Linked DNA regions of Mus musculus. The protein of the gene in region 5 purifies or fractionates together with the protein of the main gene of each other region. This does not show direct contact. Links are inferred from orthologs where the notes say so. Each region holds a gene or a part of one and is shown on either strand. Other genes may lie near its edges. The genes, in order: Tmem259, Tmub1, Insig1, Rnf185, Erlin2, Amfr and Rnf170.

Region 1 (4,224 bases), on a different chromosome or scaffold from region 5:
GTGGAAGGCCCAGGGACTGAGACCAAGGCTACAGTCTCCAGCGAGCCACACCTGAAGCTGCACCCACCCTGTCAACTGTGAGGTTCACCCTGGGCAAGAAATCATTTCTGTATCAGGTGAACTGAAGGCCAAGCAGCCCAGGCTGAGACCGCAGCAGTCACTCCTCCCAGTCCAATCCAAGAGCCAGGAACTGTATCCCAGGTCCTGTTCCACCTACTGGGCATCTAGAGTCAACATAAGATAGCCACTGGACAGGGGTTATAGCCTGGGTCCTCTCTTCCCACCATGGCCACTGTGGCCAGCCCACGAGTCCTCACTGGTCACTGACTCGTGCCAGTCACCCCACTCAGGCCCTTGGGCACTCCTCCCTCATGTGCCCACTTGATGCCACATACACAGGCACTGAACTTGGTTATACCGGCCTGGTGGGGCTGCACACCATCACCTCCTACAGACACCTCAATGCCAAGACCTAGGGTTCTTGGGAAACCTCCTACCCTGTAAGCGGGGGTGGGATGGAGTATTGCATTGTCACCCCAGTCTTGTGTCTGGGCTGTCAGTTCATCTGACCAATGGGAAGCCTGCACTGGGGTCAGAATACCAGCCTCACTCATATGCTTGCTTCTCTCTTGTCCTCTTGGGCTCTTCCTTTCCCCCTCTCTCCCCATGCTCACGGCTGTGGCCGGCCTCGACTTCTCTACTCTCTATCTCTACTACACTCTTTTTTTTTTTTTTTTTTTTTTTTTTTTTGAGACAGGGTTTCTCTGTGTAGCCCTGGCTGTCCTGGAACTCACTTTGTAGACCAGGCTGTCCTCGAACTCAGAAATCCGCCTGCCTCTGCCTCCCGAGTGCTGGGATTAAAGGCGTGCGCCACCACCGCCTGGCTCTCTATTACACTCTTAACTCCCTTCCCTGAGCCATGAATAAACTCTATTCTACACTATAAAGACAAAACCAAATACCAGCCTCAGCCAGGATCTCCACGAGATCATGACCCACCCAAGGGTGCCACTTAGCACCTTTCAGGGCTCAAATCCACTTGGTGCAGGGACTTGAGCTGGTGCCACATACCTCCTTGCCCTCTGACCCCTGCCACATCCTAAGGTCTAAGGCACCATGCTGTGCCCCCCTATCCCATGGCTGCCCAGTTTCGGTCCTTGAGGCTCTGAAGCCAGCAGAGGAGATACCAAGCCCAACAGTTCTTCTCTGGGCCTCTGTAGGAGCTGACACCTAGGCTGGGGTGGGAACAGGGCGCAGGGTGGTACAAGCCTAGCAGGCCTTGGCTGTGAGGCGTCCCTTCTAGGAAGGTTGGGTGGAAGCTGGGCAGGCAGGACGGGCAGGAAACACAGCAAATGGGCTCCCAGAAACGTCAGCAGCTCCAGAAACCAGCTGCTGTGTGGCTTGTTTATCCCAGTTAAGAAAGAGGATAAGGTCTACTGTCATCCAGCCGACCCTGTCTCTGACTAGACATTGGGCACCCACCCGGAGCCCTGAGGGTGTGGAGGGCAGGAAGGAAGATGGAGCATGGGCTCATCTGCAGCCAATGAACTGGGGCCTGAGGGGATGCCCACAGCTGTCTTGAGCTCAAGCTAGATCTACCTATGAAACCCCCGAACGCTCAGTTCTGAGAAGCACCAGGAGTGAGTCCCAAACTCACCAATGCCCTCCAATATCAGCATGCCAGCCACCAAGCCATGACCCCAACACCAGAAGGCCCAGGCAGCTCCTCAGAGAGAGCCTGGTGCCATCCCTCGAGTAGCCTTTGTGACCGAGAACCGGGATCTCCCGGGAGCACATGAAGAAGACACAGCCAGGGCAGGTGCTGGCTGTAGAGGTCCCTGGCCAATCTGGCTGTGACTCTGTGGCTGACCCTAGTGAGATGACCTCACCCAAAGCCACAGAAAACCTGGCAAGAGTCTGAAAACAGTGAAGTAACAGAAAATTTGAGCAGTGACACTGGGGGGTAGGGGGCTGTCCCCAGGGGGTTGGTTCAGGGTGTGCTGGAATGGGACTGACTAGTAGAGACTGGACTGAGAGAATCAGGGTAGAATAGAAATGACAGGCGGGACAGGGCCTCCAGCACAGGAGGTGGTCTACAGTGGAAAGTCAGGAATGGAATGGAAATGACCATATTGTTCTCAGTGGAGGTGCAGGACAGGATGGGAGTGACAGGTGGGAAGGTGGACCTCGAGTCCAAAATCCTACTCCAAGAGGACACTGGGCTCTGGTCTTGAGTGGAAAAATTTGGGGCCTAGGCTCCCAAGTGGCAGACTGAGGCCAAAGGGCAGGAGGCGGGGCCTGAGAGCTGAGGAAGTGAGGACCAGAGATAGCATCTGTAAGAGTGGTATCAGGGTATCCAGGCGTCAGGAGCCAAGTGGTAAAGTTGCCGGGGGTGGGCGAGCGGATGACAGCTGGGGTCAGGGGTCAGAGGTCAGGGGTCAGAGGTCACCTTGAGCAGAACGAAGAATTCAAAGAGGCGGCGGAAAGCAGGTGGGAAGAGGCGTGAGTAGGTGACGGCCATCTTGAAGAAGAGAGCGTGGAAGAGCCGGTCGCGCACGTTGATGAGCGGGTTGGGGTTGAGATTGGGGCCGCGAGGGCCGCGCACGGGCGCCGCGCCACCACCCCCGCCGCCGTTGGGCCCGGGCCCTGGGGCTGCCGCGTGCTCCGACATCACCGCCCCGCGTCACCCCGGCGGCCGCCGGCTGACCCCCGCCGCGTCCCGGCCGCCGGATCCCCCCCGCCGCCCCCGGCCGCCGCCGCCGCCTGCCCCTTTGCTCGCGTCCGTCCGGCCCGCGACGCCGGCGAGAGCGCCGGGCCAGAGCGCCGCCCGTGCGCGGGGCACGCTGGGATCGCCGCGGCCGCCCGAGGAGGCCGGGCTTCAGGGCCGAAAGGCGGGCACCACGAGTAGTGGGCGGAGCCTGACTTTACACATTTCATGCGGGTCGCCTCAGCGCTAAAGGGCAGAGTACCATGGAGTTCAGTTTATTTTCCTAGTGCTCCTTCAAGCTTTGTCCGGTCTCGTTTGCAGTGAGCTTGCAATTTGCAGGGGCTACACGGAGTGCATTAAAGAGCAGCCCCGTTTGTTTGCATATATTCACTCCCACATACTGTGGCACGGCCTGGGGTGGAGTCGTGTGTCACGATTCATTTGCATTGAGCTTTATCTTTATATATGTGAGTACACTGTCGCTGTCTTCAGTCTCACCAGAAGAGGGCATCAGATACACCAGAAAGGAGTTGTGAGCCACCATAACGGAGGCTGGAACTTCAACTCAAGATCTCTGGAAGAGGCGTCAGTGCTCTTAGCCATGTCTTTAGCCCAGAGCTCTATCTTAAGCATTGAGCGGCAGTGTCGGGTGTAATTCGTTTGGTTTGTGGAGGGATCCAGGTTAGCGGTGGGCGATCTGTGGGGCGTGGTCTCAGAAACAAGCTAAAACATTTGCATCCACCTGCGGGCGGGGCGACGTTGCCCGTCGTATTTGTATATGGTTTCCTATTGGCGGAGAATTAGAGGGGGCGGAGACGCACTTAGTAAGGCCTATTTACATAGGGCTTCACTCTGGCCACAGCCTCACTTAGGGGCGGGGTCTGCTGAGGACTCATTACCCACCCTGCCCTGGGAGGCAGGGCTTCCTAACTGCTCATTAGCATAATGTTTTCATTGGCGGCCGCAGCGCTGAAGGGCGAAATTCCATGGATAGTTTACTAGCAGACAGTTTCACCATCGCACCAGTATCACGGATTCCGCGCTGATCCGGCTACCACTGAGGGGCGGAGCCTCGTAGTGCCTGTCTAATTTGCATATGACTTCCCAGAAGGCTTCGCTGGCACAAGCTTCTCCCAGACAGCTATATTAATTAGTTAAATGTGAGCTTTCACGCGGATAGATAATTATTCTGAGCGGTGTTATGAGTGGTAGCCTTTCTTTTTGACATGTGAAAACGTTACTTTATCCAAACAAAAACAAAAAAAAATCATAATTACTGTATGTGAAAAGTAATTTGCTTCTCTGCCTTTAAATACCTGAGGCAAAAAACCGTCGCTTGTGCTCGCTTCGGCAGCACATATACTAAAATTGGAACGATACAGAGAAGATTAGCATGGCCCCTGCGCAAGGATGACACGCAAATTCGTGAAGCGTTCCATATTTTGTTTCATCTCAAAATAACGCAATTGACCCTTTGAAGTCTCCTTTTCTACTATAGCTGCCACATTCCCGTACAA
Region 2 (4,182 bases), on a different chromosome or scaffold from region 5:
CCCTCAGGCGCCACCCTACATGACTCCCCGGGCCCCGCGTAGGTCACTCTCTCAGCTGGTCTTGGGGCCCGGGAGCCGGGCTCCCCCCGCGGCCTCCTCATCAGCGGGCCACCGAGTCCGCCATCTTCCCAGCAGCCCCCGGATCGCCCCCAGACGCCAATCGCAGTCCAGCGCCAGGGCGGCGGAGACGTGGCTCCCAGCAGGCGCTGCGAGCAGAGGAGCCGCGAGCCCCGCCCTCCGCTTCCGGGAAATGCGCACGTCGCGGGGGCGGGGCCACAGAGCTTGCGCTGAAAGGTGCCGGGAGTGGCGGTCCTCTGTCCAGCCCTGGGGTAGCTTGAGCACTCAGGACCTAGGGCAGGTTCCATTCTCGTAGAACAAGGGCTCCCCACCCTCAAGCAACACACAGACACACTGGGTAGGAAAACGTCACAGTTTCTTTAATCTGCACAAATTCCAGAAAACAACTCTGCCCCTCTCGATTCCCCTTCACCAGTCTCCCAGTCCACCAGTTTCCAATTCAGCCTAGGCAGCTCTTTGAAACTAGAAGTATCTAGATCCTCTGTCAGCACACTAAGATGGGCCCATTGGGGTGCCCTGGCGGCCAAGGCAGCGACAGCAAGTGCCTGATCCAGAAGAGCCCACTGCCAGCGAAGGCTGAGGTCCAGCAGCCCCAGGAGATGGCCTAGAGCTATGAAGATCACACGGAGCGGCCTCCGCTAACACCCGAAGTCCTCTGCGGCGCAAAGCTGGGCTCCAGGGTAGTGGGAAAAGACAGGCAGCGGGTGAAGTGGGCCTGGGCAGACAGCAGCTCCCTTTGCGCCTTGGGGAATGAGGTCCAGAGGGGCTGGCTACACTGCCAAAAGCCCGTGGAGGCACTACGGCCGATACATGGCAAAGGCCAGGAGACTGAGGAGCAGGGTGAAGCCGGCCAGACCCAGGGTAGCGGTCAGGGGAAAGAAGGGCCGGTACTGGATCTGGCAGTACCAGAGCAGGAGCAGCAGCAGAAGCAGCAGGGGCAACAGAAGGCTGCCGATTTCCAGCCCGGAGGGGCCGGGCTCTGACCCCGGTGGGCAGGGAGGATGTGGGGGACCGACTCTCGTGGACACGTGGCAGTGGAGAACGCAGTTGGGGGGCAGGTGGAGACTGCCTAGTGTCTGAGTGTCGTCTCCTAGCAGTTGACCTTGGTAGATGAGCCGAACCTGCTGTTCCTGGCCTGGAAACTGGGTCCTGAGGAGAGAGGGACCTGGGTAAGAGAGCAGGCCTCAGGCAGTCCTGGCCCATTGTTCAGAGGACCAATCCCAATTTTCACCACCCCTACACCTGACCACCCAGATCCTGGCCTCTGGGGGACAGATTAACAGGAATGGTGTATAATGTGAGGAGACAGATTTTTCAAACAGAAAATAAGGGAGAGCTTCATAGGGTGACCCTTCTATAGACACCCACCCCATTTTTAGCATTTTGTTCTTACCCTCTTCCCAGCTTACCTTTTTAAGGAGCCAATGGTGTCCTGAGGCCAGGCCCTGGCTACCTGCTCAGAGTCATTGAGAAATTTCAACCGTAGAAGTAGGGGTTCCTGCGGAGAGTCTGGAGGTGTTGATGCTGTGACCCCTGTGTCAGGCTCTGGCTGTGCAGATGGACCTCTGTGTCTCAGGCTGGGACTCTCAGCCCCTGGGGCCTCCTCTCTGATGCTGTCAGAGGCTGACATGGCTTCACTGGGCTGTGCTGGTGTTGTGGTCCCCGGCGGCTGTGGTTGGGGGTCTGTACTCTCAGTGGTATGTGTTGAGACCCAGGCGAGGGCCAGCACCAGAAGGCAAGCAAGCACCGCAAAAAGGACAGTCACCTCATCGCCTACGCCTTCAATCAAGGCCATGGCACCCGTGCTGCTGCCAGAGGTGCTAAGGAGCTAGAGAGGTGCAAAGAACTGGTGAGGGGCTACTTCCTGGTCAGAAGTCATTCCAACTTCAACTGTCCTAGTTATTGTGTGTGCTTGCGCACCCAGGATGCAGCATCCTGTAGTCCCAAACTTGGCTTTTGGGTAACGTCCCTTCCCATCACCAGATTCCAAGTGCTAGCTTTGCTATCTGAGTTCTAGATCTTCATTCAGCACCCGATTCACCGAAACCTTACGTTCAAGAAAGGGCCTTGCTTTTCTAAGCAACCCTCTCCTTAAATGTAACCTTCATCAAACTTTACCCAGAAGCTTACCTATTCTTTGGTTCACTTCATCCCAAAGTTCACTCCTTCACCTATTTATAGCAAAGCTCATCTGATGCCCTGTCGCTTAAGTTTCTCTGATAAAAGTGTCTCTCTAGCCCCCTGCCCTCCCCCTTACCATTTACCCAAACCCCACCCACAACAAAGACCACTTCCCAAAGCTTCCTAGACAACCCCAAATGTCAAACTCCACCCTTGGCCAATCTGGAGTCTTGGGAGTTGTCTACTCAGCTCGGCACCTTCTCGGGTCCACCCAAAGCCCACCCCGCAGCAGTCTCCCAGCGCCTCCTGGGCTCCAAACCCAGAGGTCTCCAGACCCTTGATCCCTCGGGGAGAACCTAGACCTAGCCCTCCCCACGACTACTCCATCACTCCTCCCATCTGCCCGCCCCCCAGAGCTACTGGAGGGCACCAGCTATCTCGGGGCGGGGCAAGCAGGTCCCAGCTGTGGCCTGGGGCGACCCGGTGGGCGCGGCCACGCACAGCGACTCACCGCCCAGCTCCACCAGCTCCATCTCGGCTCCTCGGGCACTTCCGGGCCGAAGGCACCGAGGTCGCAGACACCTGAGGTCCCTCTCCTTCCCTGCTGCCGCGGCCCGGGAGCATTGTGGGGATTGTAGTTCGCCCTGTTTAGTTCCCGCCCTCCTCCCTGTGAACCCACGTGCCGGGCTGGACCAGATGTTGCCGGTACCCTTGGATCGTCGATGGGCCCACGGGAAGGACCCTGGGGTTTCTGCTTGTCCACAGAGATTTGGTCAGCAGCAAGAAACTCTATCTCCGCTGCCAGCTGCTGGAGCATCTGTCACTCCTGACACCAACGTCATCCTGCAGCATGTCAGAGCACCCGCGTTGGTGATGCAGTGATGAAGGCTCTGGGAAGCGCAGGTGGCCACTACCCAGCCAAGCCTGTGTCATTGTGGACGCCAAAAAGCAGCTTGGTTTTCTAAATTGACTCTGTTGCTGAGAAGGTGTAGGTTGTCTGCCCCACTTGCTAGGGAGAGTGCCTGACGCCAGCTGTCTCCTGGCCTCTGCTGCACTGTGTCCCTATGAGATTGTAAAGATGGCATAGACTTTGGAACTGAGTGTACATCCTGCGGTCTCATGTAGACACTCATCAGCTATATAATCTCTGGTGGGTTATTTAATCTCTGAACAAGTATAATTCTTCTAGGTCAGTTGGAAAGAAGAAACTCGTTTTATTAAATAAGTATGACAGCTCTGTAAAATTTATGTATTTTTTTGTATTTTGCTCGCCTAGTATTAATGCATTGGCTTCACCAAAACGTAAACTGAGAAACTGGCTAAGTATGGTGACATAGCCCTGTAATCCCAGCACTGGGAGTTTGAGGTAGGACAATTAGGAGGTTGAGAACTTTGGTCACCTAGAAAGACCCTGTTTTATTCTCCCACCCCTAAAAAAGTATTTCCACATAAAGGATATAACGATGGATCTGTGACAGCCAATCTCTGTAGATTTTTTCTTATTCCTTTGACTCCAATATCTGCAGAAATCTTGAATCCCAGATTTTACAGACCAGTTTTGACTTGGGAGTTTGCACATGCATGTGTGTCTGTGTGACTTGTCTCTGTTCTCTTATGCTAAGGGTACAGGCAGAGGCTCCCAAGCCTGGTTTCTGACATGAATACTGAGGAGTCAAATGGAGGCCCGTATGCTTGCAGAACAAGTCCCTAATTAGTTTTTTAAAAACAAGGGTTTGTATATCATATTTGTATGGGTGTTTGCCTGAGTATATTTAAGTACACCACACTCAAGCCTTGCGTCTCTGGAGGTCAGAGGAAGTACTAGAGTAATAGGCAGTTTTTTGGAGCCATGTAGGTGTTAGGAACCGAATTAGGGTCCTCTGCAAGAGCAGCAACAGGTGCAGCAAATGTTCTTAACTCCTGAGCCATGTCTCTAGCCCCATCCAGTCCAGTCTTAATTAAAGATAACCTACTCTGCTCTTC
Region 3 (4,276 bases), on a different chromosome or scaffold from region 5:
GTCTCTGTGTCCCCTAGGTAGTAGGTAAGTTGATTCAGTGCTTGTCAGTGAGCACTCTCAGAGCTGGCTGGCAGGAAAGGAAGGCCCCAAGTGCAGACACAACTTCACAAGATCTTTTACTCTAAGTTGCTCTAGAAACTTAGCATTTGAAGAGTTTACCATCAAATTGGTCATTTTCATAGAAAATGCATAAAACCACAGCAGCCTACACGAAGGGCAAAATGTCAGCTATGGAAAGTAGAAGCCCGCAGGGACCTCCTGACCAGCCTTGGGCTCCTGTGACAGAGAACAGGGACAGGGCTCTCACTACCACAGAGCACATCAGTGGGGTAGAAGGCAAGAGAGAGGACAAAAGTCCACTGAGCCACAGTAAACCTCTGCTTCTACTCTTAGTACAGAGGTCCTAGGAACGGAACCCCAAAATTCCTGCCACGTGAAAGCCAAGTCATACTCTGAAGCTCAGGAACGAGGGGACGAGCAGTGTCAATATACCCTGCCACAACCCAGATGACCCTCTGCACAGACACCAACTGAGGATACGGCACTGGCGTGGTTGATGCCAACGAACACGGCAATACAGCGCATAACGCTGGCCCATTCTCTCTTGAACTTGTGTGGTTCTCCCAGGTGACTGTCAATACAGGGATACAGTAAACCGACAACAGCTGTTTAAAGAAAAACAAAACAGGATTAGGATACACTGGTGAAAATCAGTCCTTGTGTGGTCATTATTAGTAGGATCCAAACCACTTATTTTCCTCGGCAGTTTGTCACCTGTAGCACAAAGTATTACCTTACATACACCTGTAAGAAAAGGCTGTGGGAAGGCCACCCCACACTGCTCTCTTTTTCTCAGCCTTGACCTGGCCCCAGTGAAGACAAGTCTCACACTGTGAGGAGGGTAGGGTCTCAAGAAGGGAGAGAGGCTGGACAGGTCTCCTCGAGTTTGTTTTCGCATGTGTGAAATGAGGATTATGTAAGTAAAGTGGAGGGCAAAGAAGGTTCTGTGGTTCTCAGAGTTAGGAACTGTCACAAACACAGATTGGACTCCAAAACATTTGGACAGCAGAAGTTGGGCACTCCAGAAGACACAAAGAGAGTAAAACCCAGGAAGGGAGGGACTGTCTGCAGTACAAGTGGGAGCAGTCTCATGGACACAGGGCACAAGACCTCAGTCAGGCTGCCGTCCCACCTTGTCCAGTGTGAACACAGGCACTCAGCCTCAGTGGTGAAAGCAGTACCAGTCCAGCCTCATATTCAGATGAGAAACTGGTTTACTGGGTTCCCTTAAACTTTCATCACAAACATGATGCTTCATGTTGAAGATAAACTTTCAAATTCAAAGAGCCTTAGGTTTCATATGTAAGGAAAAGAGAATTCAAATCTCCATCTTATTCCCCAAGGAACTTTTAAATGCTGGGGATAGTAGTTTGGTGGCAGATGATTTGCCTAGCATGAATGAGGCCACCCCCAGTCCAAAACAACCAAGAAGCACACAACTGTCATGTGGCTGACCCTCATAATGCTGCAGGTGAGCCTGAGAGCAAGCAGCCTTGGAAATCAACAGTTAAGTGTCCTGCATCCTACATTTAACCCATGACTCAGCTACAGCACAGCACCCAAGCCCAGCATATAAAGCATAGGCAGGCAGTCAATAAAAGCTGGCTTCAAAGCAGACAGGCACTGCTCCTGCTGTCCTGTGGCTGCAGATTGGAGGAAAGATGCACCTGAGCAAATACTGCCCACCTACACAGGACAGGACAAGGACAAGCAGGGCTGAGGGGGGAGAAACACTTGACAAATGGTTATCAACGCTGTACACTGTAAACTATGCAGGATCTGTTGGACTGTAATTACTCAACACTTTTGGCAAAAAGCAGCAAAATGATCAAGGAAAGAAAAAAGACTGTGGCACTGTTACAAGTTTCGTTGGGCCTAAGAGGTGACACCATAGGTGTGCTTAGGCCCAAAGGCTCCTTTTTTCCTCCTGTCCCAAGTCTACTGGGCACGGAGTTCCAGAAGGTTTGGCTGATAGCCACAATCTGCAGAAGGCAGAGAAGTCTGTCCCCTGGCAACTGCCTCTTGAGCGCACGTGATGGTTTGTTTTCAGTTATCCAGCGAGGTAGCACGTTTGCTCAGGCAGCCAATAGCTGCGTGGTGCTGCCCTCACCAGTTCTCCAGGCGGCCAATCCTGGCTTCTGGCTCAACGAGACAGCTGCGACTCCTCCACTTAAACTGCCAATTATCTCCTGACCTCATCTCCATCACTAGTCCCTCCAACTTCCGCCTGTCGCTCGCCAACGTCTGGGGTTTCCTACCCTCTCCGTTCTCCTTTTCTTGTAACAAGGGTGACTTTAACAGCTGACGTGTCCCTTCATCCCCCTCCCCCACCCCAAGAACAAGGAAAGGCACTCACCCGCTGCCGTGCCACAGCACGGGGGCACCCACCAGGCGGAGGAGAAGATGGTGGCTATCACCTCGTCGGGGAAGAGCGTGACATTCCGCTGGATCTGCAGCAGGTTGAGCACCAGGGCCAGGACCACGCCAAATGAGAAGAGCACTAGGCTCCGCTGCACCAAGTCGTGGTGCCAGCTGCCCGGCCGCGCGCTGCATCCTGTGGTTCCCGCTCGCTGGCCCCGGGGCGCGTGCTCGGGTTCGGGGACTCCGGGGCCCTGCGGACAAGCGGCCGCCGCAATCATGCCTCGCGGGAGGCTGTACGGCCTCGCAGCGCCCGCGCTTGGATAGTTCCAGACGTGGTCGTGCAGCCTGGGCATCGGCGTCCAGGCACAGCATGGAAGGTACACGCCACGACACTACACGTACCGCGCCCGGACGGCCCAGGAGCGGCCGCGGCCCCGCGCGGTTTCCGCTTATAAGGCAGGCTGCCACCGGAGCCACGTGACCTCACCCAGCCTATCCGCCGCCCGCGCGCCCTGCTGGGGGGCGTGTCTTCAAGCGGCCCCGCCCTGTCCGCGCGCCTGTCCGCTCGGGGTCTGGTGAGGCCGCCGGAGCCAATGGGAGGAGGGCGGCCCATATGACGTATGCACACGCCACCGGGGGGGTGGGGCTGGTGCCCGGCACGCGCTCGAGCGCGCGCTATTCGGGCAGGCGCCGGGGCGGGCACCGGAGCGGGCGGCCAGCGAGTCAGATGGTCCGATGCTGCCCTATTGCGCTGCCGGACCTCGGTTTCTGAGATAATGAGGTCCACGCAGGTCCGAAGGAAAGGACCCGGAGCGCAAACCCTCCTGAGTGCTTAAAAGACCTGGGATCGCTTGGGCTGGCTGCTAATGGCAAGTGCTCTGCAGGTTCACAGCTCAGACCAGGGCTCCCCTAGCCAAGACGCCACCGGCTAAAACCACAGGGTGGTGAGCAGGCCTGAAAAGGCACTGTGTGTGTGTGAGACCTTAGGTAAGGAATGTGGCTTTGTGCCAAAAGTGTAAAACAAAGTCACCCTCCTAAGCAGGCTGTTTCTCAGAGATCATGGGGGCTGTCATTTTCCCAGCGTGACACGGGTGTGGAGACCTGGCTGTCTTTCCCTCACAGCCTGTCCACTCCTCTCTTAGGCGGCTCTATGCGTTGTTTGGAAGAGCTTGAAGCAGTTTTGACTTCAAGGAATGTTGCAACTTGGGTCTTCGCCATTTTCCACACTCTGGCCAGTCCATGCATGTGAGGTTTCATGGGCATACACACACGGGGGTTGGGGACATCAGTACTGTATGGTGTATTACAGCAACATGGGAGCCTTTTTGACAGCAAGAAAGCAGGAGGGCCTGCCCAGCTTCAGCTGATAGGAAATTGTTAAAGGCAGTGAGTCTCTGCTGTGGGATGTAGCAGGTGCTGCCTCTACCACCCATCATCAGCTGCAAGTACTCTAAACAGATGTTGAGAAAGCGACACCTGTGTAAATACACACAATTTTGCCCCCAAGGAACAGACACATCGCTCATAGGAAACTTGGCCCTAAGGAACAGACATGCCAGTCACTTGCAGGAAGCTGGCTTGATGGGACAGTCCCAGACCCTGCACCCACGCCCCAGCACCAAGCATCTGTCTTGTGAGCACTGAGATGTAATTCAGTCCCTTTTTCTCAAGCCATTTTGCTTGTCTTTACAGACTCTCCCCCGGATTTTTTTCCTCTTGTTATAATTCTTACCAAGTAGGCTAAGAGGTTCTAATAATACTTTGTGTGCTTTTGTGATGCTTGCCTGGGGGCAGGGGTTGATATCTTCAGACAATTGCTCTGTTACCAACTTGGTTGTTTCTTCTGCTTACCCAA
Region 4 (4,009 bases), on a different chromosome or scaffold from region 5:
TTTTGTTTTGTGGAGGAAGTGTCAGCAGAATTGGGTCATAATATGGAATCTTTGCTTCTCCAGACAACATAAGCATTCTTAAGTACTCTAATGGGAGATGGAAAAGTTATCTACTTAGTGTCTGGTAAAGTGCAAAATAAGGAAATCTAAAGTTAGATTACAAAGCTATAGGTATGCAAGTCAGGACCATAAAAGAATTGGTCATATGTGCTGGGCATCCAGAAAGCTAGCTTAAAAACTGCAGACACTCTCACACCTATACACACACTGCTAGACAAAGAATTAAAGTTCAGTTTATAAACCAGAGAGAAGACTGACCCAAACAACTGAATTGGCCTTCCATTCTGTAATCAGAGCCCACTGGCAAGCAAAGCCTTGGGCAAAACAAGCAATCCCAGCATTTGGGAGGCTAAGGCAGGGGGACCAGTTTGAAGTCACCCTGGGCTACATAATAATACTCTGGAAAAGGAAGAGAGGGATGGAGGCAGAGAGGAAGAGAGCAGAGATAGACAGAGAAAAAGACAGAGAGACACAGATAAGACAGACAGAGACTGACTTTCTAAATTGTTCTCAGCCTGAGCTGAATGTCAGAGTGAGACCCCGACTTAAAATAAATTTTAAAAACTTAAATGTAAAACAAAAATTACTAACTGACCAATGTATTAATTTTAGTTAATTAATTTTTATTTCCTGTTTATTAATACAACATATACTTTGGATAATTTTTATCAGATAATGGATCATTCCAAAAAGGATGATGAAAAGAAGGATGACAAATGTGACAACCAGTAAAAGATTACATAAGATCAAGTGTGCTGGCCTTATTGATAGGAGATATAAACTAGGGAGGAGAGTCCAGAAGGGAAGACAAAGAAATGTCACATTCTGTAGGCATAATGGTACTAAGTAACGAGTGATCCTGGCACTCTTTAAGACTGAAACAGCAGGATCCGGGTTCAAGGCCAACTACAAAAGGAGCTTGAGGACAGCCTGAGATCCCTGAGACCCTGTCTCAGACCACAAAAGAAGTATCACATACACTCTGAAGACAGAGTTATCAGTGGAGAGGTAAGAGTCACAATAAATACTAATACGAGCCTTTTAAATTGGAAAGGGCCGCCTCCTGTATACTTCCTTTCCCAAGGAGACAGTCAATCCCCATCAGTCGTCACCTCTGATAATTCTTCCGTTAAATTCTTAATAGTAAGTACACATGTGTCTTCCCCCTAGAACCTACCTATTAATCGTAGCTGTACCTCTTTCAGCTACAAAGATCAAGCAGGAGGCCTCTTTGCCATAACTCCCCCACCCAACCCCCACCCCCACCCCGCGCCAGCTTTTAAAGATAGTTAGTTATTCTCCTCCGGCGTTCTTTCCTAAGCTAGAAGTTTCATAGAATCGAGCCGGCTCCAGCTGCCTCGAATCGAGTACCGCATTCACAGCGGGACCGCACTTCGGATGAGCAGGCTTCAAACACGAGTAGGACTCCAGAGGAGAACGTTCAAAATAAGGTTTCCTAGGATCCAGACCCAGATTCGAAACAAGCTGTGGGAAAAGCCCAGGGCTGGAGAGCCGGCATCCCGGAGGGTTTCGGAGCAGGTGCTGTGGAGGCCCACGCTTTTGAGACAGCTGTGCCCGGTTGTACAGCTGTGGGAACTAGGTTCAGGGAGGTCAAAGACTTGGCCTCGAACGCACAGTGAGCTGCAGGCAGCGAACTCAAGTCCAGGTCTCCTACGCTTCACCCCAAATCTGTTCACCGCATTCCTCATCTTTCCACTCCACCAAATCGCCACCCACGAGAGAGGCGGTCCCGCCCCCGAGGCTACGGGAGTCAGGACGAGCCCCGTCTGGAAGGGGAGCTTGTGCGCACCCTTCTTTCCCTTTTCTGGGGCCTTAGTTTGCCCAATCTGTACCCACGGATGCCAGTCTGACCTTCCTTCTGGGACCTGGACAGAGCCAGACTGGATGACTCCTGGCCCTTGGCTTCAGATCCCTGAGCCTGGGAAGGGGGTCCCATGCCTCCCGGGCCCGCCGTCCCAGCTCGTCACCTACCTGCCGCCGCGGTAGAGCGAGCGCCAGCGACGCCAGCTGTCCGTTCCCCCGTCCCGGAGTAGCCGAGCCAGTCTTAGAGACGCGTCAGTCAGAAAGATTGAACCTCCGACCCCTCCTACCGGGAACTTGGTCACCTGACGCGGAGCCGCCTCTAGTAGAACAACTTCCGGTTCCAGCCGGAAAAGGCTGGTGTGCAGCGCTGCTCTCCGGCCCAGGCGCCCGGCTGGTAAGTTCCGCCCCGGGACAGGAAGGGGAGGGCGTCTGGTCTTTCCGTAGGGTTTCCTAGCGCTGGAAGAGGAGGGAAGGCAGCTCGGTGGATGGGCGAGCTCGCCTCGCCCGCGTGAAGACGTGGGAATAAATATGTGCGTACCCGCCAGCTAATCATAGCATTCATTCGGGTGATGGGTCAGAACTTCAATGTCGTTTTCGAAGCAGGCTTGGGATACATGGGACCGTGTCGCAAAAATAATGGGCGGATGAAAAAGCCAGTTCTAGAAATACCAGTTTGGAATGCCTTGTACAAGAAAGTAAGGTCAGTGGTTGTTCTGTTTTATAAAGAAGAAGAACAGGAGGAGGAGGCATGGGAAGTGGAGTAGGAAAGGGAGTAGAGAATGAGGAGAAGGGAGAGAGGCCGGCCAGGAACGCGTGAAGAGAGAGGGCGGAGGGGGAAGGGGGCAAAGAGTAAGGGAGAGGAGGGGGCGAACAGCCCCTTTTATAGTAAGCCGGGCATACCTCGCTGTTGCCAGGTAACTGTGGGGCGGAGCCTAGAAGGAATGCTAACAGTGGTGATGGATGAGAATGTGCAAAACGACCCAGGAGCTCTCTTGAAGACTCTACTAGCCAAATCTGTGAAATTTCAGTATCAAAATAATAAAGGTAATAAGAGTATAACTAATTGGAGCCCATGAGATGGTTCAGAGGTAAAGATGTTTGCTGCCAAGCCTGTCAACTCTAGTTCAGTCCCCAGAAACCCAGCGGTGGAAGGAAAGGAGTCTGGCAAGTTGTCATCAGACCTTCACATGTATACAGAGACACTTAATAAATACATGGTAATTTATTTTAAAACTAATTAGATGAACTTGTAACCAATGAGGGATTGTTTTTTTTTTACAGTAGCAAGTGCATTTATTATATTTAAAAATAACTAGAAAAATTGGTGTTTTAGCTTTCCATATATAAAAACATGTGAGTCCAGTGCAACAGTGCTCAGTGCAGGTGAGTGATTTTGCTGTGCAGCTCCTACAAAGCTGCATAGCTGTGCTGTTGCAGGGGTGGGGGGAGTGGGGGGTGGAGAGCCGGCACACCTCATTCTGTAGAACAAGAAGGGACTTCCGTCCTGCCTCGGACAAGCAGTAGCAGTAGCATTCCTGTGTGTAAGCTGAGGTAGGGCTGGCACACCGGCCTTGTATCCTGTACTGGATGGCTTTCAGCTTCTGCTTGCCAGTGTGAAAGCCCAAACGCCAGATGGCAGGTGAGCCTGCATCCTCTCCCCAGAGTCCTTGACCTTATCAATCTCTAGCTCCACCTGTGGGGGACCTGAGGGATCGGTCAGAATACTCCTCCTCCTTCTGTTCCTGGAAAAAGTAAGATTCTTTGGGGGGTTCTTAGTATCATTAATACAAGAATTTAGAAGAGACTCAAAGGAAGCTCAGGACAACTTTATTAGAGTTTGAAAAAAGCAATCAAGGCTAGTTGAAAACTCTAACAGCTGCCAGAAGATGGAGAAAAGGTCACACCTTTTAAACTAGGCATGGAATAAAATTAGACAACTTATCAAGAAATGGAAAAGGACAGGTGGTATTGGCGGTGCACACCTTTGATCCCAGCACTTGGGAGGCAGAGGCAGGCAGATCTTTGTGAGTTCCAGGACAGCCTGATCTTCAAAGCAAGTTCAGGACAGCCAGGGCTACACAGAGAAACCCAGCTCAAAAAAACAAAAACAAAAAACAGAGAGTAG
Region 5 (3,059 bases):
ATACACCTTCTCAGAAGTCATACAACTTACTTACCTGAATTAAAAATAAACCCAAAAAACAACTCTCCATCTGCTCTCCCTTCCCAGAAGGGGGTAAGTTTGTGTCCATTTCTTCCTTTTTAACCACAGTAAGAAGAGTCAAGGAAGGTAGTGTGGAAAGGAGGAGCGCTTTGCTCTGTCTCATCTTAAAGAATACAGCTCTCTCTAAGCTGCCCGAGCAGAGCTTGCAGACAGTGTTTCCTCAGTTCTCCTTTGTGGGTGCCTCGAGGGGCTCATCTTCTAGGCCAAAGCCCAGCTTGTCGTCGCTCAGCCCCTCAAACTGCTTGCCCAGCCCCCCTGCGGAATCCATAAACATGTTGGGGATGTCTTTGCCGAAGTAAATCTTGCTGTTGGAAGCAATGGCCTTGTACTTCATCAGCTGCAGGTATTCTGGAGTCAGCTTGAGCTGTGATGGAAGTGAAGAGAGCTTAGGGAGGGGACACCAGAGAGGAACTTCATCTGGGGAGGGCATCTGTCAAGCAGACATGTGTTTGCATGTCTCATGGCCTCCCTGTTACCCAGAAACCATTTTTTTCTGAGAGAAAATAATCTAAGGTCTATGACAGAGTAGCAACAGTTTCCAGAGTTTTCCTGTTCAATACAAAATGAAGCTTCTATTAAGGCTTCCCACACAAGAGAAGCGCTGTCTAACCCAGCAGAGGGTCCTCAGTTCTGTTGTGAGGGCTCTGGGTAGCGAGCGGCAGAGGCAACACCTCCTCAGGACGGTGGGTCAGGCGCCCTTTACCTTATTTGCTTCTGCGATCTTCAGCGCTGTGTAGCACTCAGCGTCGGCCTTCGCCTTCTCCCGGGCCAGGAACGCAGCATCTAAGGGGTGAAGGGTGCAGGGAACTGGATCAAGTACAAAACCATGGGAGGTACAGTCTGGGGGCTGGCAATTATAGCTCAGTGGTATAGACAGCACTTGTCCAGCACACATAAAGTCCAGGTTCCATTCCTGGCACTGCAGAAAACAAAAACCCAACAAAGACACTTTCTGGTCTCCATGGCCTTGGAGAGATTGTTTTGTGTGTGTGTGTGTGTTTTGTGTTTGAAATGGTCTCACCTTATAGCTAGGCTAGCATTGGACTATGCAGACTTCCTGTTAGTACAGAGAAACCAATTCTCTAAAAGAAAGTAACGTGAGATCTTCCCGACAGTGCAGCAAGAGCTTTGGTTTACTGCAGGACACCTCCATCTGGCTTCATCATACATGATGTACACTATGCATATCATATGGTGTCACCCTGACCCTGCCTTTCCAGTGCTGGGATTACAAACATGCACTGCCTTGCCTGTTCAATACCACAGATGACCCTTTCCAACTTCATCTCCCCAAAGTTTCTAACAGTGATGAGGTTGGCTAACTCTAGATTCGTGCATGCTGGTCCAGAGGAGCGCTGTCTGGTTCAGACCTGCTTCAGCACTTCATGTAGCAGTAACCCTCCGGCTCAGTGATGATGCCCAGCTCAGCTTTGAGCCCTGTGGCCCGGGGATGCGCCAGCTGCACTCCAATCACATTCACAAGGAAATATTCAGGGGCAATAATTAATTGGGGATGCTGGTTTATGGTTGTTTTTGTTTACTTTCCACCATTTTAAAAAAATTAAAACCTTTTCATTATTACAGTGTTTATTTACTGAGAGGGGTGGAGCACGGACAGCATGGCACATGTGTGGAGGTGAGAGGACAACTTAGGGAACTCAGGTCTCTCCTCTGCCATGATCTAACTCGGGCTGTCAGGCTTGGCAGTGAGTGCTTCCGTTGCTGAGCCATCTCAGCTGGCCCGCTACTGGTGTTTTTGAGACGCTTTTCTATGTCACCCAGTAATCCCAGTGGATTACTCTCTTTCCACCCTTAGGCTTGTTGGTATAAATTCGGGGCCTCGGGTTTGACAGCAAGCACTTCCACCCACTGGATGACTTCATCTGCCCTTCATTTCTCTTTTCACTCTCAAGAAAATGCCCTGTGCACGATCTACACAAGCAACACAATGATCCATCTTATAAAAGTTTATTTTTGAGTATGTGTATCTGTGTGTGATTATGTGCTTATAAGTGCAGATGTCTACAGAACCAAGAGGGTCAAATCCTTCTGGAGTGGGATTTATAGGTGGTTGTGACCTGCACAATGTGTGTACTGGATACTAAACTCAGGTTCTCTGGATGAGCAATTAATCTCTCTTAGCAGCTGTGCCTCTCTCAGCCCCATGACAACCATTTATAGGAAATGAAAACACTGCTTTACCAAGAGCTCCCTGGTGAGAGCCCACGATCTGTGACATCCTAATCAGCTGCTTGGTAGGTCCCTGCAAAACCTGCAGGCTCCACAGTGAGTGTATAATTACACGGAACACTGTGGCCTGAAGCTTCCTTGAGGATCCCTTTGTCCTGGAAATCATGTAGAACACTACATGAAGCAAGGTGAGGGCAGTGGGGAAGTGAGGGCCCAGGAGGGGACTGCAGTGAGCGATGGCTGGAAGCGAGTGACCAACACTTCTCAGCTCCAGAGCTGCACATGCTGAAAAGGGTCGTCACCAAGGCTAACCTAATGTCTGTGTGGGCCTGGAGAGCAAATAAGATGAAAGTATGCAACCAACTGCCTCCTGTCCCCTAACAGGGTCTTGCTATGGATGACAGTGTGTATCAACATGCCTGGCTCTAGAGAGAGCAAAGGCAGGAAGAGCTGCTGCTTGGGTCCAATGTCAGAGTGATCAGACACACTTGTCAGCCTGAGCTCAGCTCAACGGGGGCTGTGAGATCTTTTTCCTTCTCTTCCTCTTCCTTTCTTGTCTCTTTTCTTTTCTGAGCCAGGGTCCTGCTCTGCAGCCCAGAATGTCCTATGACCCACCACCCTGTTCTGCCTTTACCCTAGGTGCTGAGACTCTAGGACTATGCTACCACGCCTGGACTGACACCCTTGCTTCCAGCACTGTTTAGTTAGTTACTTACAAACATTTATTTATGTGTATGTATGGGTGCATGTGCAAGCATGCCCTGGGGAGTGCTCAGGGCTCAGATGAC
Region 6 (3,500 bases), about 67 Mb from region 5:
TCCCTTAAGCTGTTGCTGCCAAGGGCAAGGTGGCCGTAAGTAACGCAGGACCACGCTGCACTCCTGCAGCACAGCTCCTGGTAAGCTGACCTCACCTGGACAGAAGCTTCTCCCTCCTCCAGGTCAGGGCTGGGCCTCTCCACTGGGCTGTTCAGTGCAGGCCTCAGGCTATCCGACCGCTGAAAGAAAGCATGCAGTCATTCAGGGTGGGGTGACAAAGGGGCAGGTGACAGTTTTCGACACAGCTCACAGCCTGAAAGGTGAGACGAAGGATGTGGAGGCCCTCATGGAGTTCCATGTTTGAGAGTAGTTAGTAACTGCTCCATATTCAGCTTCCTGTTCAATAATAGTGATTGCACAACAAAAGCAAGGGCAAAGGTCAACTGCGCGGAGTAAACACTGTTCCCGGTTTTCATAACCTTCCTAAAGTGCTCTGAAGCAGGCATTGCAATTAAGTCTCCAGACTAGAGATGTTCTGGGTCCTCCCCACAGGCTTTATCGCTTAAGGTCTGAGTACCTTCATGTCTGCTGTCTGGTTTATGTGTTTCACTGACAGCCCTATCCAGCCATATGAGGCAACTCTGCCAGCTCCAAAGGCAGCTAACAATCAGGTCAGAGAGCTGAGACCCAAGGGACCATATAGCTAGCACCTTAGCCCAGCTGTCTCCAAAGGCTACACTCGTCAAAAGAGCTTCATCTTTTTGAATTGTATTGATATATTTCTGTTCACTTATAGGCTGTACACAGGAACTTTTGGTAGATGACTGTCTGGCCTTATATTACATTCCTCAGTATTACTGAAGGCTCCTCTCTTGCTTTTTCTGTGCCTCTCTCAGAGGCCGAGTGATGAGGCACAAACTCTGACCTTTTTAATGAAGTCCAAAGTCCAAGCCTCAGCTCCCTGAGAGATGTGAACTGTCACTAACACACCACATGATGTACAACCAGCCTTCTCTTGGAGTGCCAGTGCTCCATAAACCATAGCCCCATGTTCGCCCCTCTCTACTTCTACAAAGAATGTTTTACTGGACCACAGTCTTGCTCATCCACATCCTCACTGCCAATGGCCACTTTATTTGCAGCAGACTGTGGACCAAGCAGAGCCTAAATAGTCACTCTTTGCTCTTCACAAAAATAGATGCCAGCCTCTGACAGGAGCCAATGGCGTCCCGGTACAGACCTGCAGTGAGGGAAAGCTGATTTGGGGTATGTTTCTGCATAAAATGTACTTGGATTATCTGTATTTACCTTTGGTTAATCTGTTCTCATGAAAGATTTGAATGAAATGAAATTCATATAAACCCTTCCTCAAATTATAAATAATATTTAGGTGTTAGGACTAATTCTTTGTAAAAATAAAATACATTTGTTAGGCATAAAGCTCCAGTTTTACCTGCGTGGGGAAAGGTACTTGAATCCGTCCTTCTAAGATGTTATCTGTTGTTATCTCCACGGAGCGTGTCATCTGGAGGTCCTGGAGCACAAGGTGGTACGGGACCTGAGGGAACATCTCCTGAATCTGATGAGCCTAGAGAAACATGAAGGACACACAGCAAAGGTCACTCTCAGCAGATTTGAGGGTCAGTACGCACACTTGGCAGGCCCTGGACACAGAGGCTGACATCATTATCTTGAAAGCACAGGTAAAGGCCATTTTGGCTCAGCAGATCACCTGCACACTGCTTTCTTTTTATTGTTGTAGGGTACTAGACTTCTGGGATACCAGCAATTTCAAAGTAAAGAGCAGACAGAAATCTAGTAGTATCTCAAGAAAGGGTCAAGTCAGAGTATCTTCTGGCTTTAAAGATCTATTTGATGACTTTATGTGTGCCAGTATCTACCTACGTGTATCCTAAGCTAACAGGATCCTTCTAAAGTTCGATGTTCAGACACAGCATGTGTAGTATTCATATCCACTATGCCAAGGGAGAGCCAGACTGGGACTCCATTAGATGACATCTGGAAACAGGCACAGGGAGAGGGAAAGCAGAGCAATGTGGGGCTGGGCGTTCTGCTCAGGAGCTTGTCTAGCAGGCAGGAGGCCCTGGCTGGGGAGAAACTGACCTCAAAAGAACCTTGGACCCACAGAGAGGAGCAGCAGAGCCACTCTGACTCTTGTTAGATTAAGTCTACACAGCTGTGTGAGCTAAACTTGAGATTAACCAAAGCACATTTTTACTGCATACAAATAATAAGCGCAACTTTAAAAAATAGAATTAAAGAATGTAAGTTTCTATATGCAAAACGTAAAATATATTTTTTAATTTATAAACTTTTTTTTTTAAGATTTATTTATTTTGTGTATGAGTACACTGTAGCTATTTTCAGACAGACCAGAAGAGGGCATCAGATCCTATTATAGATGGTTGTGAGCCACCTTGTGGTTGCTGGGAATTGAACTCGGGACCTTTGGAAGAGCAGTCAGTGGTCTTAACACTGAGCCATCTCTCCAGCCCATCTTTTTAATTTATAAAAGTCAATTTTTAGCCAGGCATGGTGACATGCCACTCTCACTCTAGCACCCAGAGGCAGAGGCAGGAGGATCTATAAGTTCAATACCAACCTGGGTACATACTAGGATTATGAAAATATCTAGTACTGCCTCAGAACTACAATTTTCAAACAATGCTCTAGATCCATCACTGCACACACTTAGAGGTTTAGCCATGTGTGTACAGGACAAATACATAAATTTCCATCCATACTTCAAATTCATCCATACTTCCATTCAAGCACCTCAAAACTTGTGTGTGTGAACACATGCATGTGTTTTATACATATAAATATATTTTATAAATGCTTGCATTCTAGGTTTGTATTGTAGAAAAATCTCCATAATTTACAGAGCAAGAGAGAAAAGAGAGAGGAAGAAGCAGGAAAGACCACTGCCTTGGAGTACGACTGAATGTCAGTTTCCTTTTTTCTTTTTTTGTTTGTTTTGCTTTTTTCTTTTCTTTTTTTTTTTTTTTTTTTGGTTTTTCGAGACAGGGTTTCTCTGTATATCCCTGGCTGTCCTGGAACTCACTCTGTAGACCAGGCTGGCCTGGAACTCAGAAATCCGCCTGCCTCTGCCTCCCAAGTGCTGGGACTAAAGGTGTGTGCCACCACTGCCCAGCCTGGATGTCAGTTTCAAAGGAGCACAGCATCACAAACTGCACGTGATGGCTTGTGTCTCAGCACTGCAACTGAAAGAGCAGCTCAGGTGAAAACTGTCCAGAGCTTTGCTGAGTCACTTGGGAGAGACAATGGCAAGATGTTCAGTGCCCAGAGGGCCCAAGGCTCCGCATCACTGGAGACCCCCTCACAGCATGTGGACTGGAAGGAACATTTTATCCCAATCAAATCAAAGCAAAGTGGGAAGAGTCTCTACAAGCATTCTCCCCTCCTCACCTAGCTCTCCACCAATTGAGGAAAAGAAAAAGGGAAACAAAGCTGGATCCATTTTATTGAACTTTCTATCATAAATCTTTCTACCAGAAAATCCAGTCAGTTAAATACTA
Region 7 (3,500 bases), about 910 kb from region 5:
ATGGGTTAATCTAACTTTATAAACTCTGTCCAACAGAAATGTACAGCAGAACATCCATCCAGAAAACCAGGAGCTAGTCAGAGTGCTTCGAGAACAATTCCAAACAGAACAGGTATGCTGATGTAGTATATATATTTATAGAAGGGGATGTTGTAGTTTCCTGTTATAGGAGTGGTGATAAGACATTAGAAAGTAGCTTTAAGAAGCATCAGCTGCTTTACTCCTTACATTATATTGTTCCTCAGACTACATATTTTCAGATTAAGCACATGTTCTTTTGACGGGACTGGGAGGACATCCAGGCAGTCTCGCGTATTCCAGGCTGGCCTGGCACTTGTTGGGGAGCTGAGAATGATCGTGATCTCCTGATCTTCCCGACTCTACCTCGGTCACAGTTACTTTTCTATTGCTGTAACTATAAGTCCAGGTACAGGCAACTTATAAAATAAAGCATTTAACTGGGGGCTTGCTTACTGTTTCAGAGAGTTGGTTCATTATCATCATGGTAGGGAGTGTGGCCGCAGACAGGCAGGCGTGGCTCTGGAGCCGAGTGAGAGACTGGGCTTCAGGTGGGCTTTTGAAACCTTGAAGCCCACCCTGAGTGACAACAAGGCCAAGTCCCCTAATCCTTCCCAAAACAGTTCCATCTGCCAGAGGCCTCGCGTTCAAATGTTATATGACCATTCTCATGGAGACCACTAGACCTCCCAAGTTCTGGAGCTACTGGCAAGAGCGATCAACCTAGTGGCATGTTGACTAGTCTTAATCTATACGGATGCATGCAGTGAGGATTTTGGTTTCTTTGAAAACCACAGAAACATATGGGAATATGTTTTCATTTTAACCTCAGGCGTGGATATGGTGTTACCTCACGTTCTCCACAGCAGCTGACTATGATTTGCATCATCCTTAAGCAGGGGCATGGTTTTGACAGCGTTTTGGAATTCTGGGGACTCTTCAGAGGGTGTCTTAAGTGCTAGAGCCCCATAGATGGCTGCTGGTTGGCTGGTTGGTGGCTGGATGCTGTTGGTTGCGGTTTATCAGGCAGTCGGGTGCAAACAGAAGAAAAGAAGGAACTAGATATCCTGACAGACAAGATCAAATTTGCTCCAAAGAACTTGACGCCCTAGTCAGTAGGAAGTAGTCTCATGATACCATCACCCTCTTTCTCCTCAGTCCTTTTCTCTCGCCTACCTAGTGTTAGGGGTTGGAAGGGTGGAAGAAGAGAGGTAGAGAAGGATGGAAGAAAGAAGAACCCAGAAGTCCAGTTACAGATACATGCATGCTTTTTATCGCCTTGTTCTAAAGGAGAACGATTTTTGTATTTGTTGTTTGTATAAAAAATGTAGTCAACTTTAACGGAAATGAAATAGATACTTCCTTTTTTATTTCTCTCTCTCTCTCTCTCTTTTTTTTTTTTTTTTTTGACACAGAATTACATGGTCCTGGCTGGTCTGGAACTTGCTGTGTAGACCAAATTGACCTCAAATTCATAGAGACATGCTTGCCTCTGCCTCCCTAATGCTGGGCTTATAGATATGAGCTATTCTGTTGGCTTTTGTTATATTCTTTGAAAAACATCAAGAAAGGTATAAGTTTTTATTTTAATATTAATTACTGGTTTTTTTTGTTTTTTTTTTTTTTTGAGGCAGGGTTTCTCTGTGTAGCCTTGGCTGTCCTGGACCTCACACTGTAGATCAGGCTGGTCTCCAACTCATGTAGATCTGCCTGCCTCTGCCTCCTAAGTGTGCAACACTGCCTGGTAGTATTTACATATTTTAATATTTTCATTTTGTAGTATTAACACTGGAATAACAATGCTACCTTCAATTATTTTAGTAATTAGTGCTATTTTAAGAAATTAAAATTCTAATTATAATATCTTAACATTTATCAAAAGTTCTTTAATTCATTTTATAATTAAGTTTGTATTTACTACTTTTGATTTTTGTGATAATTTTATTTTAAAAAGTTTAATACCTATTTATTGTATGTGTATGAATGTTTTGCCTAATGTATGTGCATCATGTATGTGCTTGGTGCCATAGAATTCAGAAGAGGATGTTAGAGCCCCTGCAGCTGGAGTTAGAGATGATTGTGAGCCATCATGTGTGTGCTGGGAACCAAACACATGAACGGCAAGAACGGGTCATGCCCTAAACTGCAGAGCCAGCTTTCCAGCCCTTGATGAAGGTGTACGTTTGCGTTAGTGCTGGATAGTTTTCTAGGTCCTTAGGTACTACAGTGAATCCTATAAGTGGAGTTTTTGCCTTCACGGCATTTTATTCCAGAATCATATTTGATGTGTGGTACTTGTACTACTATCTGATCACAACAGTGATACAATCAAAGAATATGCATATATTACATATTTGCGTGGTTTGGGGTTTTAAGACAAGGTCTCATGTAGCCCAACCCTGGGACTTGTTAGGCAGCCAAGGGTAATTTGGAACCCTTACCTTCCCGACCCTGCGTCCTCACTGTTGGGATTACAAACATGCAATGAGAAGCATGTTAACATTTACTAGGGTGGGTTTCCAAAGGACCACGTTCACATGACCAAAAGTGGTCATTTTTTCCCTACTTATAAAATGAGCAAATAATCTTAACTGGAAGATTAATTCTTGTGGAAGATAGAGCAGATATGCAAAACTTTACAGGGGACAGGTGTTCAATGAAAAGGATGACGCCAGACACGGTCCTGCAATGCTAGCATTTGAGAAGCTGGGGAGAATTGCTGCTGTAAGGTCCAGGTCTGACAGGGCTACAAAACAAGACTGTTTTAAAAACCAAAAAGGTTGTTTAAAATGTTAAAAAAATTGGTGAATATTAAGAATGATAGTTTGATATTTTTTCTGTTTTTATGGTATTGAGGATCAGACCCAGGGCCTCATGCATGTTAAGTGGGTGCTCTCCCTCTGAGTTACACTGAAGCAGGGTGTTTCGGATTCTCTAGTTTATATCGCAGCTTGTAGAATTCAAATAACATGCATTTTAATAAAGTAGAAAAGCTAGCTTTGAGTTAATCTACATTTTGTTTTCAAGTTGTGTGTAGGGAGGAAGGTGAAGGCCACTGAGTTCAAATAAAACAACTTTGCAAGCTTCTCAGACTTGCAAGACGTTAAACTATTGCGCATGTGTAATTTCTGTCTTGAGAGATGTCTGTGTCCTTTCCCCAGGATGTCCCTGCTCCTGCCCGACAGCAGTTCTACACTGAAATGTACTGTCCAATCTGCTTACATCAAGCCTCCTTTCCTGTTGAAACAAACTGTGGACATCTCTTTTGTGGTGAGCAAATTATGTCCGACTTGGTTAGAGTCACCAGCTTGAGACCTTTGTGGATTGGTAGTGGGCTAGATTGCTCATTTTCTTTTTATCACATTTATGTTCTGAGAAGAGTAGATTGCTTCACAAGTCCTGCTCTAGTTGCCACCCAAATAATAGCATATTGTTTAGTGTATTCCATACTAAGGTCTGAGGATATTGCTCAGTTGGTAGAG

Evidence for each region.
Region 1: the proteins of Erlin2 (region 5) and Tmem259 purify together in Homo sapiens (affinity purification with mass spectrometry; 3 studies listed by BioGRID and IntAct, with this or other methods). This does not show direct contact. The link is inferred for Mus musculus from reciprocal best matches to the Homo sapiens genes ERLIN2 and TMEM259.
Region 2: the proteins of Erlin2 (region 5) and Tmub1 purify together in Homo sapiens (affinity purification with mass spectrometry; 4 studies listed by BioGRID and IntAct, with this or other methods). This does not show direct contact. The link is inferred for Mus musculus from reciprocal best matches to the Homo sapiens genes ERLIN2 and TMUB1.
Region 3: the proteins of Erlin2 (region 5) and Insig1 purify together in Homo sapiens (affinity purification with western blotting; 4 studies listed by BioGRID and IntAct, with this or other methods). This does not show direct contact. The link is inferred for Mus musculus from reciprocal best matches to the Homo sapiens genes ERLIN2 and INSIG1.
Region 4: the proteins of Erlin2 (region 5) and Rnf185 purify together in Homo sapiens (affinity purification with mass spectrometry; 5 studies listed by BioGRID and IntAct, with this or other methods). This does not show direct contact. The link is inferred for Mus musculus from reciprocal best matches to the Homo sapiens genes ERLIN2 and RNF185.
Region 6: the proteins of Erlin2 (region 5) and Amfr purify together in Homo sapiens (affinity purification with western blotting; 4 studies listed by BioGRID and IntAct, with this or other methods). This does not show direct contact. The link is inferred for Mus musculus from reciprocal best matches to the Homo sapiens genes ERLIN2 and AMFR.
Region 7: the proteins of Erlin2 (region 5) and Rnf170 purify together in Homo sapiens (affinity purification with mass spectrometry; 4 studies listed by BioGRID and IntAct, counting the BioPlex papers as one, with this or other methods). This does not show direct contact. The link is inferred for Mus musculus from reciprocal best matches to the Homo sapiens genes ERLIN2 and RNF170.

The regions. Positions count from the first base shown.
Region 1 is NC_000076.6:79,981,461-79,985,684, forward strand, and holds the start of Tmem259 (membralin), read right to left. Parts: upstream 2,801-4,224; 5' UTR 2,672-2,800; coding exon 2,450-2,671; intron 1-2,449. UniProt on the Homo sapiens protein: May have a role in the ERAD pathway required for clearance of misfolded proteins in the endoplasmic reticulum (ER). Promotes survival of motor neurons, probably by protecting against ER stress.
Region 2 is NC_000071.6:24,445,047-24,449,228, forward strand, and holds Tmub1 (transmembrane and ubiquitin-like domain-containing protein 1 precursor), read right to left. Parts: upstream 2,801-4,182; 5' UTR 2,711-2,800; exon of another isoform or gene 2,701-2,710; intron 1,907-2,700; 5' UTR 1,874-1,906; coding exon 1,488-1,873; intron 1,228-1,487; coding exon 876-1,227; 3' UTR 417-875; downstream 1-416. Other genes in the region: Fastk (fas-activated serine/threonine kinase), read right to left, coding at 20-101. UniProt on the Homo sapiens protein: Involved in sterol-regulated ubiquitination and degradation of HMG-CoA reductase HMGCR. Involved in positive regulation of AMPA-selective glutamate receptor GRIA2 recycling to the cell surface.
Region 3 is NC_000071.6:28,069,936-28,074,211, reverse strand, and holds the start of Insig1 (insulin-induced gene 1 protein), read right to left. Parts: upstream 2,801-4,276; 5' UTR 2,775-2,800; coding exon 2,417-2,774; intron 666-2,416; coding exon 541-665; intron 1-540. UniProt on the Homo sapiens protein: Oxysterol-binding protein that mediates feedback control of cholesterol synthesis by controlling both endoplasmic reticulum to Golgi transport of SCAP and degradation of HMGCR.
Region 4 is NC_000077.6:3,450,157-3,454,165, forward strand, and holds the start of Rnf185 (E3 ubiquitin-protein ligase RNF185), read right to left. Parts: upstream 2,801-4,009; 5' UTR 2,053-2,800; intron 1-2,052. UniProt on the Homo sapiens protein: E3 ubiquitin-protein ligase that regulates selective mitochondrial autophagy by mediating 'Lys-63'-linked polyubiquitination of BNIP1.
Region 5 is NC_000074.6:27,033,819-27,036,877, reverse strand, and holds part of Erlin2 (erlin-2), read right to left. Parts: intron 865-3,059; coding exon 785-864; intron 446-784; coding exon 242-445; 3' UTR 1-241. UniProt on the Homo sapiens protein: Component of the ERLIN1/ERLIN2 complex which mediates the endoplasmic reticulum-associated degradation (ERAD) of inositol 1,4,5-trisphosphate receptors (IP3Rs) such as ITPR1.
Region 6 is NC_000074.6:93,974,641-93,978,140, forward strand, and holds part of Amfr (E3 ubiquitin-protein ligase AMFR), read right to left. Parts: intron 1,529-3,500; coding exon 1,394-1,528; intron 180-1,393; coding exon 96-179; intron 1-95. UniProt on the Homo sapiens protein: E3 ubiquitin-protein ligase that mediates the polyubiquitination of lysine and cysteine residues on target proteins, such as CD3D, CYP3A4, CFTR, INSIG1, SOAT2/ACAT2 and APOB for proteasomal degradation.
Region 7 is NC_000074.6:26,125,868-26,129,367, forward strand, and holds part of Rnf170 (E3 ubiquitin-protein ligase RNF170), read left to right. Parts: intron 1-36; coding exon 37-112; intron 113-3,179; coding exon 3,180-3,288; intron 3,289-3,500. UniProt on the Homo sapiens protein: E3 ubiquitin-protein ligase that plays an essential role in stimulus-induced inositol 1,4,5-trisphosphate receptor type 1 (ITPR1) ubiquitination and degradation via the endoplasmic reticulum-associated degradation (ERAD) pathway.